2 linked regions of the Lonchura striata genome follow. The protein of the gene in region 1 interacts with the protein of each later gene in a biochemical or structural test. Links are inferred from orthologs where the notes say so. Each region holds a gene or a part of one and is shown on either strand. Other genes may lie near its edges. The genes, in order: CAV1 and PTGS2.

Region 1 (7,121 bases):
CTACATAAGCCTTAAGGAGTGGGTAGTTAAGTCCCATTAATGAGACAAGTTCTCATAGTCTGACATTTTCTATAAAACACATGAACATTTAATAATACTGTAGAACTAGAAGAAAGGTACAGACCAGCATTGACATAGACCACTGTTCACAGACCAGCTCAGTTTTCAAGGTATTTGATACTGAAAAGGGTTGAGAATGAGTGACTAAGTTTTACAGTCTTGCAGAAATAAAGCTTTCTATCTATTTGCCTCTCCAGTCAAGGCAGTTACAAGCTATCTTGATAAAGACCTACAGGGGCTAGCTCTAATAAAAGACTGAGAGCAGAAAAAGCCATGCATTTTGATCCAAAACTGTAATCCCTGCCCAGCTGCCACCCACCAGGAACATGTCTGAACTCAAAAGGCACCTCCCTTTCCCATAACCCCCCACAATGCCTACAGTTTTACTTTTGTCATGCCCAGAACTGCCCTTATTTGAGCAACTTGGCATCTTTCTCATCTAAGCCCAGTCAGAACCCCAAAAGGGGGGCCTTAGACTCCTCAAAATATACTTAACTGTGTATCAGCAGAATAAGGTACTTCCCAAAATACAGTTTCCCAGGAGTGAGTCCAAATGCAGTGGCATGCCTCAGGCAAAAATTGATTTCAGGTTTCTCAGGTGTTGGCTTGAGTCTTCTAGCCCTTAGGCTATTGTGAAATGCTTTGTGGCAGCATCACTTGCACATAAAATGAAATCACTCCTATCTAGAAGTTGTGAGACAGAAGGAATGTGAGAAGAGCTACCCATCTCTCCAGCTATAACTAATCCTTGGATTAATGGCACAAACAGGCCAAATACCAAATGTGTACGTGAACCTGCAGCCCTGTATACTAGGGTGAGGGGAACCTGTCTCTATAGGAAAATTCTGATCCAGTGATTTACATTTTAAAATACAGAACCCCTCCAGAGAGTGGGGGCGGCATGACCACCATGAATCCTCTAGGACTACAAGTCTTTAAATAATGGAATGAGGAAAACATTGGCCTGCATGCTAATCCTATCCTAATGCTTGTTATCATGCACAACAGGGTGAAAACAGTAGCAAGACTGCTAAAAACTCAGTACCAACAGTTTTGGCAGCTAAGGCTTTTATCCAGCAAAACATACAAAACCATACATAAAATGATGTGGTTAAGAGTTGAACAGAAGACACACAAGCAATGATCTTTCACTCCTAAGCCTCAGGTTTTTAAGTGCTCTGCGTAAGGCAGGCTGCTCATGGACTGCCTCTGTTACCTGACAGCCTTGTTGGTGTTGAAACTATACATAAAGGAAACAGTTTCCCAGGGTTGATTTCGATCTTGCTGACATTGGAATATATCAGGAGTGTTGCTAATACCATAACTGGAATAACTACACAAGCTTAAAACAAAAAGGGGGGTGAGGAATGGAGAAAGAAGGAGTGTTTGTTACCTGACAAAGACAGTGAGCAGTCATCCACATTCAAGTCAGTTTCATAACTAATTTTCTGCCAGTTTTTGAGGGGTTTTGTTAAATCCTTTTTTTTTCCCCCACTGGTTTCTGGGAATACTACCCGTAACAAAACTTTTTCTCCCCTCAAAGTGGAAAAAAAAAAATCATAAATTGCACATTGCTCCAGGTTTAGAGCAAGTTTTTAACTAAGGTAATCCTGAGGTTTGAAATTTCAGTAAAAAGGTTTTGAAGCAATAAAAATTTCTTTAAAATAGGTATGAAATGCGTAAGGCTGGCGTGATGAAGAAAGGCAGTGAGGTGGCCAACCAAGGTGTCATGTAGTCCTGCTTAGCAATTGACCTGGACTACTAAAGACACAGCAAAGCTCCATGAGAAGACTGGCTGGTGTTTCAAAGGCCAGTTTGAGTGTTTACAATTTCTGGTAATTTCTGGCCACCCCTGGATAATCTATTCATAGTAACTGAGAAGGGGAATGGAGCCTTTGCACTTTCAGAACATTTCTGCAAGGCTCTTTCCCATTGAGCTATTACTCTTCCTCTGAGTGTAACAGGGGATCCTTGCAGAACTCCTGTGTGCATTCATGCCATAGGAGTTGGTTGTACCTGTGTGCATCCATGCCACAGGTCTCTGGCTGTTGAGTTAGTGTGTATTTCTCATGCAGCAGTGCTAGAGGCAACAGGCCATGGCTTCATCCCTTTCCATCTCTGCAGATGTAACTTGCTCACTCTTACTGCTTAGTAGTACCCATACCTTTTTCTAAATAGCCTATCCTCTTGATATTCCAGCTCCAGAAAGCACTGCTAATGTTCATTTCACTTTGTATGCAGCCTATTCTGGAATTCATCTCATAAAACTTACAAATTCCACTAGTTTATGATATTATTCTAGCTGCAGTAGTGTTGTGTGATTCAGAAATATTTTTTAAAGGGGACTGTGGTTCTGAAAAACTATTCCAGGATCAATTCAGCATTTCAAATTGACAAGTATCTCTCTTATTTCTCTTTCTTTAAAGTCATTCTTGAGATATAGAGTCATATTAAATGATGGATCAAAATGTTCTGATTCATATGGAAGACAGTGACTAATTGAAAAATTTCCTGGATATGAAAACAAAGAACTGTCTTGCAATTTTTTTTTCAGATGGATGGAAAAATTGCAGGGTCTGTGTCCTTTAATACACTCATTTGGGTGCATATTCACGCTAAAAAGCTTGGACAGGCAAAAATATTCTAACAATGGCTTAAGTGAATTATTGCATCAATAAAAAGTTACTTTTAAAAATTACAACTAACTTGGAAAGTTGGAAATCTTCCATCCAAGGCATTTGTTCCAAAGTTTACAAGCAATATAAAGGAAAGTTGACTGCTTACCAATGTATCAGCAACACATGTCCATGTGGACTGCATTTCCAACAGGTGCAGTTATTTACATCTGTGGCACCTAAATCCATCTTAGCCAGGGGCTTCTTCGAGGTCATTTCTCTGTTGAAGCGCCAAAGCCAAATATACTGCAGTTAGGAATTTTCTGCTGCAATTCTGTGCTAAATGGCATAACACTAAGGTCACAATTTTTCTGTTAATGTTATAAATCTTTCACCATAGTCTGATTTCCTAACACAACACTATTAGCTGCAAACACATTCACACAAAAAAAATGAAATATAATTCATTTTTTAAATGTAAAGTAATGCTGCGACACTAACCTTAGCCATCTTGAATACGGTGATGAATGTTTATATTTATACCATGTACATCTACATATGCCCCTGAGCTTACAAAAAGCCTTGAGAACAGAGCATGGCAAAATGGTGTCACACTGTTCCCCTTTAAAAGTTAATCCCAGTGGTTAATGTGCATGGCAGACATGCATGGATCAATCTCTTCCCGGGAAAAATAGAGCAGTGTTAACGTGCAGAAGTGTTAAATATTTGAATAGTTTTGAAATGAACCAATTGAGAAAAATCTCTATTTCTTCATCCCAGGTATATCCAAGTTTTCACAATTGTTCCTACAGCAGCGATGCTTCTGTGTAAACTATTGTCAAAGCCGGCAGAGGGGAGCCCGGCAAACACCTCGCTCGCTCTGGATGCTGAACACAATTAAAGTTTTCCATTTCCTCACTGCTTCCTTGCCCCACCCCCTCCACCCCCCCATCTTGCCCAGGTGGCTCTGCCGCACGCAGCCACTGTCGCGTCCCACTGACGGGGGTGGGGGTCGTGGGCAGCCGGACCAGGGCGGACTTCGCGGAGGAGACCGTGTCCCTCTCCCCGTCGAGTCCCTGTCTCCGCACGGACCTGGGTCCGCCCGATCCCAGGTTGCCGGGGCAGGGCTGTTTTCCCCTCCCACCCCGGCGGCTCCCGGCCGCCCGCCGTGTGCGGGGCCGTACCGCCGCTGTCATCCAGCCCGGCCGGAGGCCGGGACCGCCCTGGCCAGCGGCCAGCCCTCTCCTCGCAGCTACCTCCCCCGGCCGGTCGCTCCGCACAGCGGAATCGTCCTGCCTCCGGTCCTACAAGTCACAGGGCAGAGTAACTCGCGGCAGAGCCGTCAGCAGCCCGCGGCAGCATGTCCGGCACCAAATACGTAGACTCGGAGGTAGGACCACCGGACCATGGGGCTAGGATGCTGCCCCGCCGCCGACTGCCTGCAGCGGCTCGGACCCCAGGCTCCCTGACCCATCGGAGCAGCGGGGCGAGGGGTGGCTCGGCGGCAGGAGGGCGGACGGCCGGGCACCTGCGGGCCGGGGCGGCGGGTCAGGGGAAGCCGGGGCGCTCGTCCCCGGCGGGGCGCGGGGAGGGGAGCTGCTGGGTGTCGTGCGGGAAGAGCGGTGTATGGAGAGCTCTACAGCGAGAGCACTGGGATGGAGAGGGTACGGTGATGGCCCTGAATGAAGGGCGGTATAGAGAGAGGGGCAAGTATAGTGAGGTCAGGGTGGTACAGGCGCCGTGCCCAGGTCAGCACAGCATGGGCGGTAGGGCGAGGGCAGTACGGGGAGGGCGCTGTGCGGCGAGCCCCGGACGCTCCCTGCCGTGCCCGCGGGGCCACGCCAGCGCCCACCCCAGCGAGGGGCCACTCGCTCCGTCCCGGGGCAACGCCGCGGGGCCGGGGCCGCCTGGCGGCGGGAGCGGGAGCCGGCGCCTGGCACGGCGGGGGTGTGGTGTGCGCCCGCGGCCGCGGTTAAATAGCCGGCCGAGGCCGCCCCGCAGCCCGGAGCCCGCGGGACCCGGGGCCGCCTCCCCAGCCCGCCCTCCTGCGCGGACCGGAGCGGCCCTGCCCTGCCCTGCCCTCCCCGCCCCTCCCCGCCTCTCCCCGCCTCACTGGGCTCTCCCCTCCTGCCCGCGCTCCCTCTGCTCTCCGCAGGGTTTTCTGTACACTGCGCCCGTCCGGGAGCAGGGCAACATCTACAAGCCCAACAACAAGATGATGGCAGATGAGCTGAGCGAAAAGGCGGTGCACGATGTGCACACCAAAGAGATCGACCTGGTCAACCGAGACCCCAAGCACCTCAACGACGACGTGGTTAAGGTGAGGGGGCGAGGCGGGGTGTCGCGGGGGTCGATACCAAGTCCTGCCGAGGCAGGATACGCGGGAACTGTCAGGACGGCTGAAGCCCGCGGACCACATCCCTCCACCTGCTACAGGAGGGAACGGGCTAGGGGCTGATCGGATTTTGTTTGGTTTGGGGTTTTTTTTAAAGAAAAGGCGGAGTGGGCATGAGAGAGGCGTGCAGCGGCCAGGGCAGCCCTGCGGAGCTCTTCGCTGCGGTGCGGAGCGGGGCCGGCCGCGTCTCGGGCTGGCCGCGCTGTCCCGCGGGGCCGCTCCGGGCTGGGCTCGCCGCAGCCGGGCGGGGCCCGCGGTGCGTGTGTGCCCGCGGTGTGTGCCCGCGGTGTGTGCCCGCGGTGCGTGTGTGCCCGCGGTGTGTGCCCGCGGTGTGTGCCCGCGGTGTGTGCCCGCGGTGTGTGCCCGCGGTGTGTGCCGGCAGCCAGCTCTGCAGCCGGGACGTCCCGCCCGGGGAGCGGGGGGATGAGTTGCGTGACCTTGTGTAACACCGTCGGAAGGATTTTCCTTCCCCAAGGCACGCAGAGAGGCAGGGCGGGGAGATGTCACAAACCAGATCGCCCTCTCTAAGCCTGGCGGGTGCAAAATCAAGAGATTCTAGTGGCGGTTGGATTCATGTCCTTGTTCTGTTTTGTTCTCTTTGGTGTTTTCCCTTCCTTCAAAAGATGATAAGCAAGCTAAGCAAAATCTAACTGTGCCCTTGCCTAGATTTTTTTTGTTTGGGTTTATAAATCAGTTTGACTGTTTTGACAAGTCAGGGTCGATGGAGATTTTTGCTTGAAGTCACTTTGGTCAGAAATATCACAGAGATTGCTTTTCTTGTAGAAAAAGAATTTATACAGACAAATTTGTACAATCCTTGTGTTATGAACGAGAGTGTTTGAGATCAGTTAAAAAGTCATCGGCAAGGATATGACGAAAAATCAGATTTAATATTAAGTGGCAAAGCACGAAAAATTCATTGGCAAGACTAACTCTACTACTCATAGGACAGCCAAGGCACAACAAGGGAAAACAAGCAACAAGAAAACCAAACAAAATCCAGGCAATCAAAACAGTAATGAACTGAGAACTATATAGGGGTGTGTGCTCCCTTAGGTGTGTGTGTGACAAAAGATAGCGTGGGCAAGGATAAAAAGGAACAGGGCCTGAAAGCTTAACAGCACTCCAATTTTACTTATACCTTAAGCCTAACAATTTAACATAGGAAGAACACTTAACTTATACCTATTTTATAGCTTAAATTTAATTTACAACTTAACCTAACTGTAGCAATTTACTGAGAATAACACTGAAGAGCATTTAACCTAATTCATAATTTTGAAGTTAGCAACTCATCAGAAGAACAACTCTTAGCAACACGTAGCTTATAACTTATGTTTAACAATTTAGCAAAAGAACAATACTTAACAGCATTTAAGTGAGTTTTTAACATAACCTTCCTCACTTGCCTAACTTACTTAGATAACCAAGGTACTTAGACAGCTAAGAAAGCAGTATTTCTTTGATTTGCTACAGCATATGCACAGAGGCATGCACAAGGACATGAGGAGTCAGTGCAAGCAAGGTGCCTGTGAAAAATTCCCCCCAGAGATCAATCAAATACTCACTTTGGATGCTCTTGCATCTCCCAATGGGCAAAGGATTGGGCCTTGAGGAGCGTGCATATTGGCCCAGGATACAGCTTGTTTCAGTGATCCTCCATACATGAGGCTCTGAGAGGCATCTCGCTCAGAGGGAGGTTGCTGTTTGTAGCTTGCTGCAGTCCAGGAGACCTCAAAGGGTCCCATTTTGGACTGCTGTTTAGAGGCTTGCAAGAGCCTATAGGCTTTTGTCATAACAATGTTTCATCCTGTTCAGGGTTTGTGTCCTCACTTTCTCCATAAGTGTGGAAACAGGAATGTTGTGCCATTCAGGTAGGTGGAATATTTTCCAAGGGTGGTCATAAGGAAAACAGCAGCTTGTTAGCAATTCCTGGGAGCAGACAGTGTTTCTGATAAGCTTGAAAAGAGCTGAGCCCAGGTGGTGTTTCCAAAGCCAAGGCCTAACAAGCATTTCTCAGATCACACTGCATGCAGCCTGGAAAGATGGAG
Region 2 (8,169 bases), on another chromosome or scaffold:
GCTCTGGTAGAAAAAAAATCTTATTTGCGGAAGTAATGTTTCCTTTCTTTAAATTGAATGAAAAATTGGATTAATGAATAAAGCTAAATAAACTTCAATACCCAAAGGCATGTTTTATGTAAGAAAGCATTACACTAAAATAATTTTCCACTCAGCAAAACCCACCTCAGTTTCCCTTATCCAGTTTAATATCCATGTACTTGAAGCAAAGGAAAATTCCACATGATTGTATTTGCACAACAAAAGAGCATGAGGCTGGATGACAGATTTCACTAAAATTAAGCAGGAAGTTGCTAAAAGAAAATTCAAGCATCTGCACTGAGGAGAGAAGTATTTGGAAATTTCTCTAAGGAGGGTTTTCTGTGCAGGTTTCCCACAGAAAGATAGCCTTTCAATATACAATGAAAGGCTAAATACTTACTAAAAATGGCACAGCAGAAGCAATTACCTTAATGTGAGTTGCAGCTGGTGACCAAAAGCAGATAAAATGTCAGCTGACGTTTCTTTATGTAAGGCAGTTACAAAATCTCATGACGTATTTCAGACTTGCCTGTGATCAAATGTCCACATCCGAAACACATGGAGGCTGTGTGGGGAAAAACAGGGCCTCTGCAAAAAACCCAGGATCACGGGAGCAGGGAAGTTCATGGCTTAACTTTGGTAACAATTGCCAATAACAATTGCCAATAAAGAAAACATCCTTTCCTTCAGTCAAGAAACGATGAAAAATATTTTCCATTTTAACAGATACAGCTTATATAGGAAAAAAAAAATCCCATAGATGAGTGTATCCAAACAAAGTCTCTGAAAAAATTATTCAAAATTTAATAAAAGTTAAAAAAAATATACAAGCCTATTCCAGAGTGTGGCTGCCAAAATCTTATGCTTATCCAATAGTTCATGTTTATGGTCTTCCTCTTTAAATTCACCATAAAAATTAATTTAAAGTCTTGTGATCTAAAAAAATAATTTAAAAATGGGACAGATTGTAGCTAGGATGAATTTTCAGTCAGCCTCTGCCTCAAACTACCATTTAGGATAAACATGTTGTGCTTCATCCTCCATTCATCTACACTCCTTGGATAAAGGTCATAGAGAGCTTCGAGCTGAGTTTAAGTCATTTAGGGCTTGTTTGTCAAGGACTAGTCAGGCAGGACTGAAGTTGTGACTACCAAGAGTGACAATTAGGAAAGGAATCGTCTAATACACCCATCTGAACAAACAAAACACAGTTCTGAAAGCCATTTCTGCAGGGGCTTCATTCATTCATTCCCTTTCATTTAAAATTATGAGGATTCAGTGTCTGGGCATCTCCCAGGGAAAGAGCTCAGCCTTGCTTCGGATCAGGTAGAGATCCACATTTAAGCTGGGCAAAAGGGAGCAATTCTTGTGCTCTTTTCCACTCAAACTGATGTGTGTCATGTCCCAAGCAGTGTGCAGATGCCCTGTAGTCATGATATCATATAGGTACCTGGCAAAGAATTTGCAAAAAAAAACAGGCTGGGAGAAACCTGGGCACCACACAGCACTGTACAGAAACCTCATTTCACGTCTCATCTCTGCAGGTAAATCTGATGTAAAGTCACTCTTCTCACCTGTTTCATTACAGTCTTTGACTCGTAACTGAGTCTGTCAAGAATGCCACAGAATTAAAACAAGAACTCAGAGACGTTATTAAAAACAGAGGCTTGGAAAGGGTTTGTTGAGCAAGGTTTACTCTATGCAGATGTTAATGATAAAATAAAATCTATCATATTGGAAAGCATTCCTCAAAACTCTCACTGGCTTGCAAATAAAACACAAAGTGTGGATTTATGTTTTTTGTTCCAGCAGCTGAAGTCCAAAGGGAAGCTGCTCTTAAAAAGGATAAAAAAAGGGGGGGACTCAAACTTGCTCAGGTCTTGCCTAAGTCAGATGTAGATTTTTGTGCACCCACCTATATTTTTTTTTTCTTGCACATTTTAAAAAATATAATTCCAGGAATAAAAACAACTCCAACTGAAGTTGATTTGGATAACAAGGTATGCTGCGTTTCCCTACACAATGACTGGTGTCCACAGGTGTCCCCCTGAGGTGAGGTCCCAGCTCACCTTCCTATTCCCCCTGCAACAGGTGTGTGCCAGCAGCCCCAGCCCATGCACAAACATTCCTTGCCAATCACTGTCCATGGGATTTCTCCTGAGGGCAAGGCACTCCAGCTCCCAGCTCTCACACCCTCTATATTAATACGTAGTTTTGCCTGGAATTGTTCTGAACAATTCCAAAATTGCGATAGCCTGGAAACTCCATAAACGAGGCACCTTTTTACTGCAATTTTCCTGTGGAAAATAAGCAAACCTCCCTTGTCTCCAAACCAGGTAATGAGTATTTTTGTTTTCCAGCACAACCCAGGATGCCAATGAAACTGGGTCTCAAGTGATCAGAGTGCTCCACAAGGACACAGCAGGAAGACACGGGGAAGTAGAGCCTAGTTGTCTAGCCAGGGTGATCCCCTGAAAGCACAAAGCAATTTCATAATCAAACCCTTCTGTTAATACTGTAAAAGGCAAAATCAGGAGCCTAAAGACATCAACTTCCCCTGGAGATCCCTCAGTTCTCGAGAACGTTGTCGGAGCATCCAGGATTGTCATTGTATCCCTGTCCAATGAGCCTTGGATTGTGCTTGCATTGGGAGCAACGTATCCAAACTGACAACAAATTTCAGATTGAGCTCCTTCTGTCAAAAAAGAGCAGCAAAAAGGCACAGAGCAAATGAAACGGATTCATTTCCCAGGAAAGTACTGTGCTATAAAACATGAGATTGCCACAGTCACGGAGGGAGGGAAAATATTTTAAATACATTAAAAAGGCTAAATTCAGTGCTAATTCAGCTGGGTTCAGCTGACCCATTGCAAAATGGAGCAGCACCAGTGCTGAGGGACAATGTTTTCCCTGTTGCCACTCCATCTCCCTTTCTTTTGGTGGCATTACTGAAGCAAGTCAATCCTTACAGGTCACTGCATCCTCTGTCCTGAACCTTTGCCTTGGAAAGGTGTGAATTTATGCAGTTAAACCTAAAATAGAAACAGGAATAGCTTCAGGGAATTGCCTCCTGTAGAAATGTCAGTAAATGCAAAAAGGCTGAGGTTGACGAAGGTTCTCTGTTCCACAGGCTGCTCTGACCTGGACCAAAAGGTACTTCAAGTAACAGAAAGAAAAATAACATTAATTCTTAGCAAAGATGGTTTATGTGCTAGAAACGCAAAGAGCACTTTGTTGATGCATGAAATCTCCACCTGGTGGTGAATCTTGCCACAGCAAACTTGCATTCCTGAGAAAAATTCCCTTTCCAACATATAATCAGTTCTTTACCCAAGATAATCCCAAAGCAATAAGTAGGGAAGGGCAGCCTTCTGAGAAGCAGCACTATTGTATCTCCCTGATTTTTCACTATTTTGGAAAGCTGAAGAATCCCTTCAATTCTACTGCAGCTGACAGTGACAGTGACACAAGTGACCTTCCCCAGCCAAAATCAGACTCAAGAGAGATCACGTCACATTAACTGCAGCATTGGGTGGAAGCGGGGGGGTGCTGACTGGTTTTCTAGTTGCAGAAGTACTGCTTCTCTAGGAGAAACATCCCCTCCAAAGCCTGGAGTTCTGCCCTGGCTCTTGGTTTACATACTGATTAATTATAATAATTAAAAACTTTAAGCATCATCACTTATTTATATCTCCTCTAAATCATAGCACAGTTACCTTTGGATTATCATTTTAGGGGCGGTTGTCTGGCTGCACAGAATTACTTCAGTTTCCCCCTTAATGTTGCTGGTCTTACACTCTAGAAACATTTTCCTATGCATGTTATTTAAACACAATGTCTCACTTGCCTGATGTTTGCAATAAAGTCTTATCATGTGACAGCATCCGCAGAAGTTTTGTGAGATGGAACAAAATCAGTGTGAGATGGACATATGAAATGTATGAAAATGTGTGTAGACCCTTGAGCTACGGTGCTATGCATGCCATAGCCTGATCCACTGGATAACCAACATTCCATATTTAATTGATTTGGCTTATGCAAGAAAAAATATCACCCTTTTTACACTTGATAAGACTGAGCAAAACGTGGCTGTGGCCACAGGCTCCCAGTTCAACTGGGTTGGCAGACATCCTCTGATGACCCAGCCCGTGGTTTCTGCATGCAAATGTATAAAGAAATATTATCTGCCTTCTCTTGATTATGCAGCTTTTTGTGTACCAGTCTTAAAACATCCAGAAAGACTCACTACTAATGTACACAAATTACTCACTGACCACAATACGCTTTGGGGCCAAAAATAAGATTATGTTTAAATCGGCCTGAATCCACTTTCCGTCAAGCCACGGATTTGCAATTCAAACACCATCAGCCTCTCAAGCTATCCTTGCTGAAGCCACTATGAGTTTTTGGTGTTTAATGCCGACCCGGAGGGCGAAAGTGCAGCTCCGCACTGCAGGGTTGCACAACGGCATGACATCCTCCTGCTTTCATTGTAATCCCTCACGCAACAGGCACTAAAAATAGTAGCAAAGCATTCTGGTTAATAACAAAATAATCTATGACCAAAAGATAACGTATCCTCAAGGAAATTGGGGAAATTTTGTTTACAGCGCAACTATAAGGGGGGGTAGGAGGTGGAGAGTGGGAATTTAACGGAAAAGTACTGGGGGAAAGCCACTATTTGTGCCAAAAATGCCAAATAACAGGAGCTGGTCTCGCCAGACACGCTAAATTCCGTGAAACTCAACTAAAACTAACGTCCCTGCAGCATTCCTTCCCTTGGCAGCGCTGCCGGCTGAATTAAGGCGATGGTGAAGCCGGGAGCGGCGCGGCGCGGGGCCAGCGCCCCGCCGCCCCTCAGCCGCTGCCAGCCCGGCCCTCACACCTGCCCCGAGCGCGGCCGGCCGGGGCGGGCCGGGGCGGGCCGAGAAATCCCCTGCTCTCCCCGCGCTTCCGGGCTAGTGAGTCAGCCTGCCCCGCTCGGCGCTGCCATAAATAGGGGATGCGCGGCGGAGGCCGGCACTTGGAGCTGCCAGCTCGAGCCCCGGGGAGCCAGCCCCGCCAGCCCAGCCCCGCCATGCCGCTGCTGCCCCTGGCCCTGCTGGCCGCGCTGCTGGCCGCCGGCCGCGCCGGTGAGTCCGCGCCGCGCTCCGCGGCGACGCGCGCTTTGCCTTTCTGCTTCTCCTGCTCCTCGCTCGCTTGTCATTTCTCTGCTGTGTGTGGGAGCCAGGTCCCCGCTGGCCTGTGAGGGATGATCTCGCCTTCTGAGCGGGGTTATTGCTGGCAGCAGACGAGAGGTGAATCCCTGCATACCTCACTTTTTCCGAGCTGCTCCCTGGTAGCCCAGAGGTGGATGGATGGTCGCTGTGATGTGATGCCTCCCTGATCAGCGTTGAGCTCCAGGGCGTTCTCGTTTGCTGTATGAAGTCCTGACAAGGTGGGAATTATTGCGGAGATGCTAACCCGAGCTCTGGTTCCCCCGCAGCCAACCCTTGCTGCTCGAACCCCTGCCAGAACAGAGGCGTCTGCATGACCGCTGGGCCGGATCGCTACGAGTGCGACTGCACCAGGACAGGCTACTACGGGCAGAACTGCAGCACACGTGAGTATCGCACACCCCTCTCCGTGGGAATGAAACGCGCTGGCCAATTCCAGCATCGCAGGATAGCCTCCATAAGCTAAATGATAATAACCTGCCCACTGTCGTTCGCAGCGGAATTCTTCACCTGGCTGAGGCTAGCACTGAAACCATCGCCAAACACTGTCCACTACATCCTCACCCACTTCCAAGGAGTCTGGAATATCATCAACAACATTCCCTTCCTAAGGGACGCTATTATGAGATATGTACTAACGTGTAAGTGTAAATTGTCTCTTCCAGTCATCTTAAATTTTACTTCAGAATATTGTACTGAATTGATCTGTCTACAAACCAAGCAGCCTAAATTGCACTGAAGTTAAAAGACCAAAATTTAAGATTTCTGCATGGTGCAGGCTTGTATGAAACATGCTGAAGTGCAGCTTGATTCTGCTTTCTGCAAGAGTTCAGGATTTTGCCGACATGAACTTGGCGCCCCATTGCTCATGTTAATAGTGAGATCCAGCTGATCAGCCAGAATCCAGTCCTGTTATTCAGTAACTGTAATCATATTTAACATCAGTAACTGATATGTGTGGAATTTACACCTGCTGCCAAATATATGCAAAAGATCTGACTTTGTGATTTACTTTTTGAGACTAAACTGTACAGTTAAAAATAACCAAATATTTATTTGTCTTTCAGCAAGATCACACTTGATTGACAGCCCACCAACTTACAATAGTGACTACAGTTACAAAAGCTGGGAAGCTTATTCCAATCTTTCCTACTACACAAGAAGCCTTCCACCAGTAGGACTTGACTGCCCAACTCCAATGGGTGTTAAAGGTGAGAAATAAGCCAGACACGTAATGATTGCTTGGTCTTTTCTAAGAGGAAAAAATAAGTAGTAGTTCCTATGAGACCTGCTTGTCTGTAGCCTTTTTTCTGTGTAGTTGACTTCAGGAATAACCATGTTTTGCATATATTGTTTAAATATCTAAAAGATATTATTCTGGTTCTTGCTATTGAGTTACATGCTAAAAGCAGGGAATTTAGAAATTTCTAATAAAATCAAGAAAGCGAGCTTAGAAAAGTAGGTAATTCTCCTTGTTTGTATGCCACTGTCATTATGTTCCACTGAAGGTCTTAAGCCCTTTTCTTAGGAACAAACTTCAGTATTGCATAAAGGGTTGTCTTAAGTATCTCACTGTCTGTTTCTCCCACAGGTAAGAAAGAGCTCCCGGATTCGAAGCTGATCGTGGAGAAGTTTTTGCTGAGGAGAAAGTTTATTCCCGACCCGCAAGGCACAAACGTGATGTTCACGTTCTTTGCCCAGCACTTCACCCACCAGTTCTTCAAGACGGACCAGAAGCGGGGTCCTGCCTTCACCAGAGCGCTCGGCCACGGGGTACGGTCACGGCTGGGGACGGGACTCGTGCTCTTTGGGAGCTGCTGAGTGCTGGAATGGCCAGAATGGCATCCTCTGTTGCCAGGGGACACAAACACCTGTGCACACACTGTGCCACAATTCCGTGGGATTACCTCTTTCTAACTGCTCCTCAGGCCAAATTCCAGTGTTCGGCAGCATCTCTTCCCGGCTCAGAACCGCGTGCTCTGCACAAGTGGTTCTGTTTGAAATACCTGCCCAGTGATCTCTTATTGTTCCCAAAAATCTGCTTTCAGTTAGATAGTAGTGAGTAGATGGTAGTGAGTATCCAAAACTTCTCTGGACTCTGTCAGTTCCAAAGAGCCGTATCCAGCATTTAAGTATTGCTTATTTACCGCCAATACCCTTAGTTTAAAAAGAACTTCAAAAGCAGACTTGGATTTAAAATTTTCTCTGCAAGATAGGCATCCTTTGGACAAAGAGTTCTTTACTATAAGTGTCACTCTTATGTCCAAACCAAAGTTAAATTGTGTGTGTATATATAGAAAGCTGTCTGCATAATAAAAAATTGCTGACACTTTAAACAGAGTCCTTTTATATTACTGATGTAACAACCTCCTCTTATGCAGAGGTGGCTCCAGTTGCCAGGAAATAATTTGGCTTCATCTTAAATATCGGTGCATGATACTTATAAGGTAGCAGTAGTATAATTGAAAGGTAAACATCTAGAGGGTGAACTCCTATTGTTATCCATAGAAGAGGGACTTATCCTAAAATAGAAAAAAATGCAGGTTAGCTTCATGTTCCAAATGCTTTTATTTTATAGGTTGACTTGAACCACGTTTATGGAGAGACTCTGGAGAGACAACTTAAACTGAGGCTTCGAAAGGATGGAAAGCTAAAATACCAGGTATGTCTTAGCTCAGAATTCCTACCTTCTTACTGGATGGCATAGATTTCCTAAATTAGTGCTGTGCCAATGGTGTAGGTGATCTAAAGTGTGAGTCAGAGCTTACCCAAAGTATCAGAGCTCACAGCTTCTGTTGTTTCCCCCTCGCGCAGATGATCGATGGAGAAATGTACCCGCCGACGGTGCGGGACACGCAGGCAGAGATGCTGTACCCACCGCACGTGCCCGAGCACCTGCGCTTCTCCGTGGGGCAGGAGGTGTTCGGGCTGG

What was found.
Region 2: the proteins of CAV1 (region 1) and PTGS2 form a complex in vitro, tested with the Homo sapiens proteins (2 studies listed by BioGRID). The link is inferred for Lonchura striata from reciprocal best matches to the Homo sapiens genes CAV1 and PTGS2.

Annotation. Positions count from the first base shown.
Region 1 is NC_134607.1:34,682,787-34,689,907, reverse strand, and holds the start of CAV1 (caveolin-1), read left to right. Parts: upstream 1-3,911; 5' UTR 3,912-4,035; coding exon 4,036-4,065; intron 4,066-4,830; coding exon 4,831-4,995; intron 4,996-7,121. UniProt on the Homo sapiens protein: May act as a scaffolding protein within caveolar membranes. Forms a stable heterooligomeric complex with CAV2 that targets to lipid rafts and drives caveolae formation. Mediates the recruitment of CAVIN proteins (CAVIN1/2/3/4) to the caveolae.
Region 2 is NC_134611.1:28,632,455-28,640,623, reverse strand, and holds the start of PTGS2 (prostaglandin G/H synthase 2), read left to right. Parts: upstream 1-5,104; 5' UTR 5,105-5,153; intron 5,154-5,506; 5' UTR 5,507-5,550; coding exon 5,551-5,623; intron 5,624-5,734; coding exon 5,735-5,878; intron 5,879-6,304; coding exon 6,305-6,448; intron 6,449-6,828; coding exon 6,829-7,010; intron 7,011-7,815; coding exon 7,816-7,899; intron 7,900-8,051; coding exon 8,052-8,169. UniProt on the Homo sapiens protein: Dual cyclooxygenase and peroxidase in the biosynthesis pathway of prostanoids, a class of C20 oxylipins mainly derived from arachidonate ((5Z,8Z,11Z,14Z)-eicosatetraenoate, AA, C20:4(n-6)), with a particular role in the inflammatory response.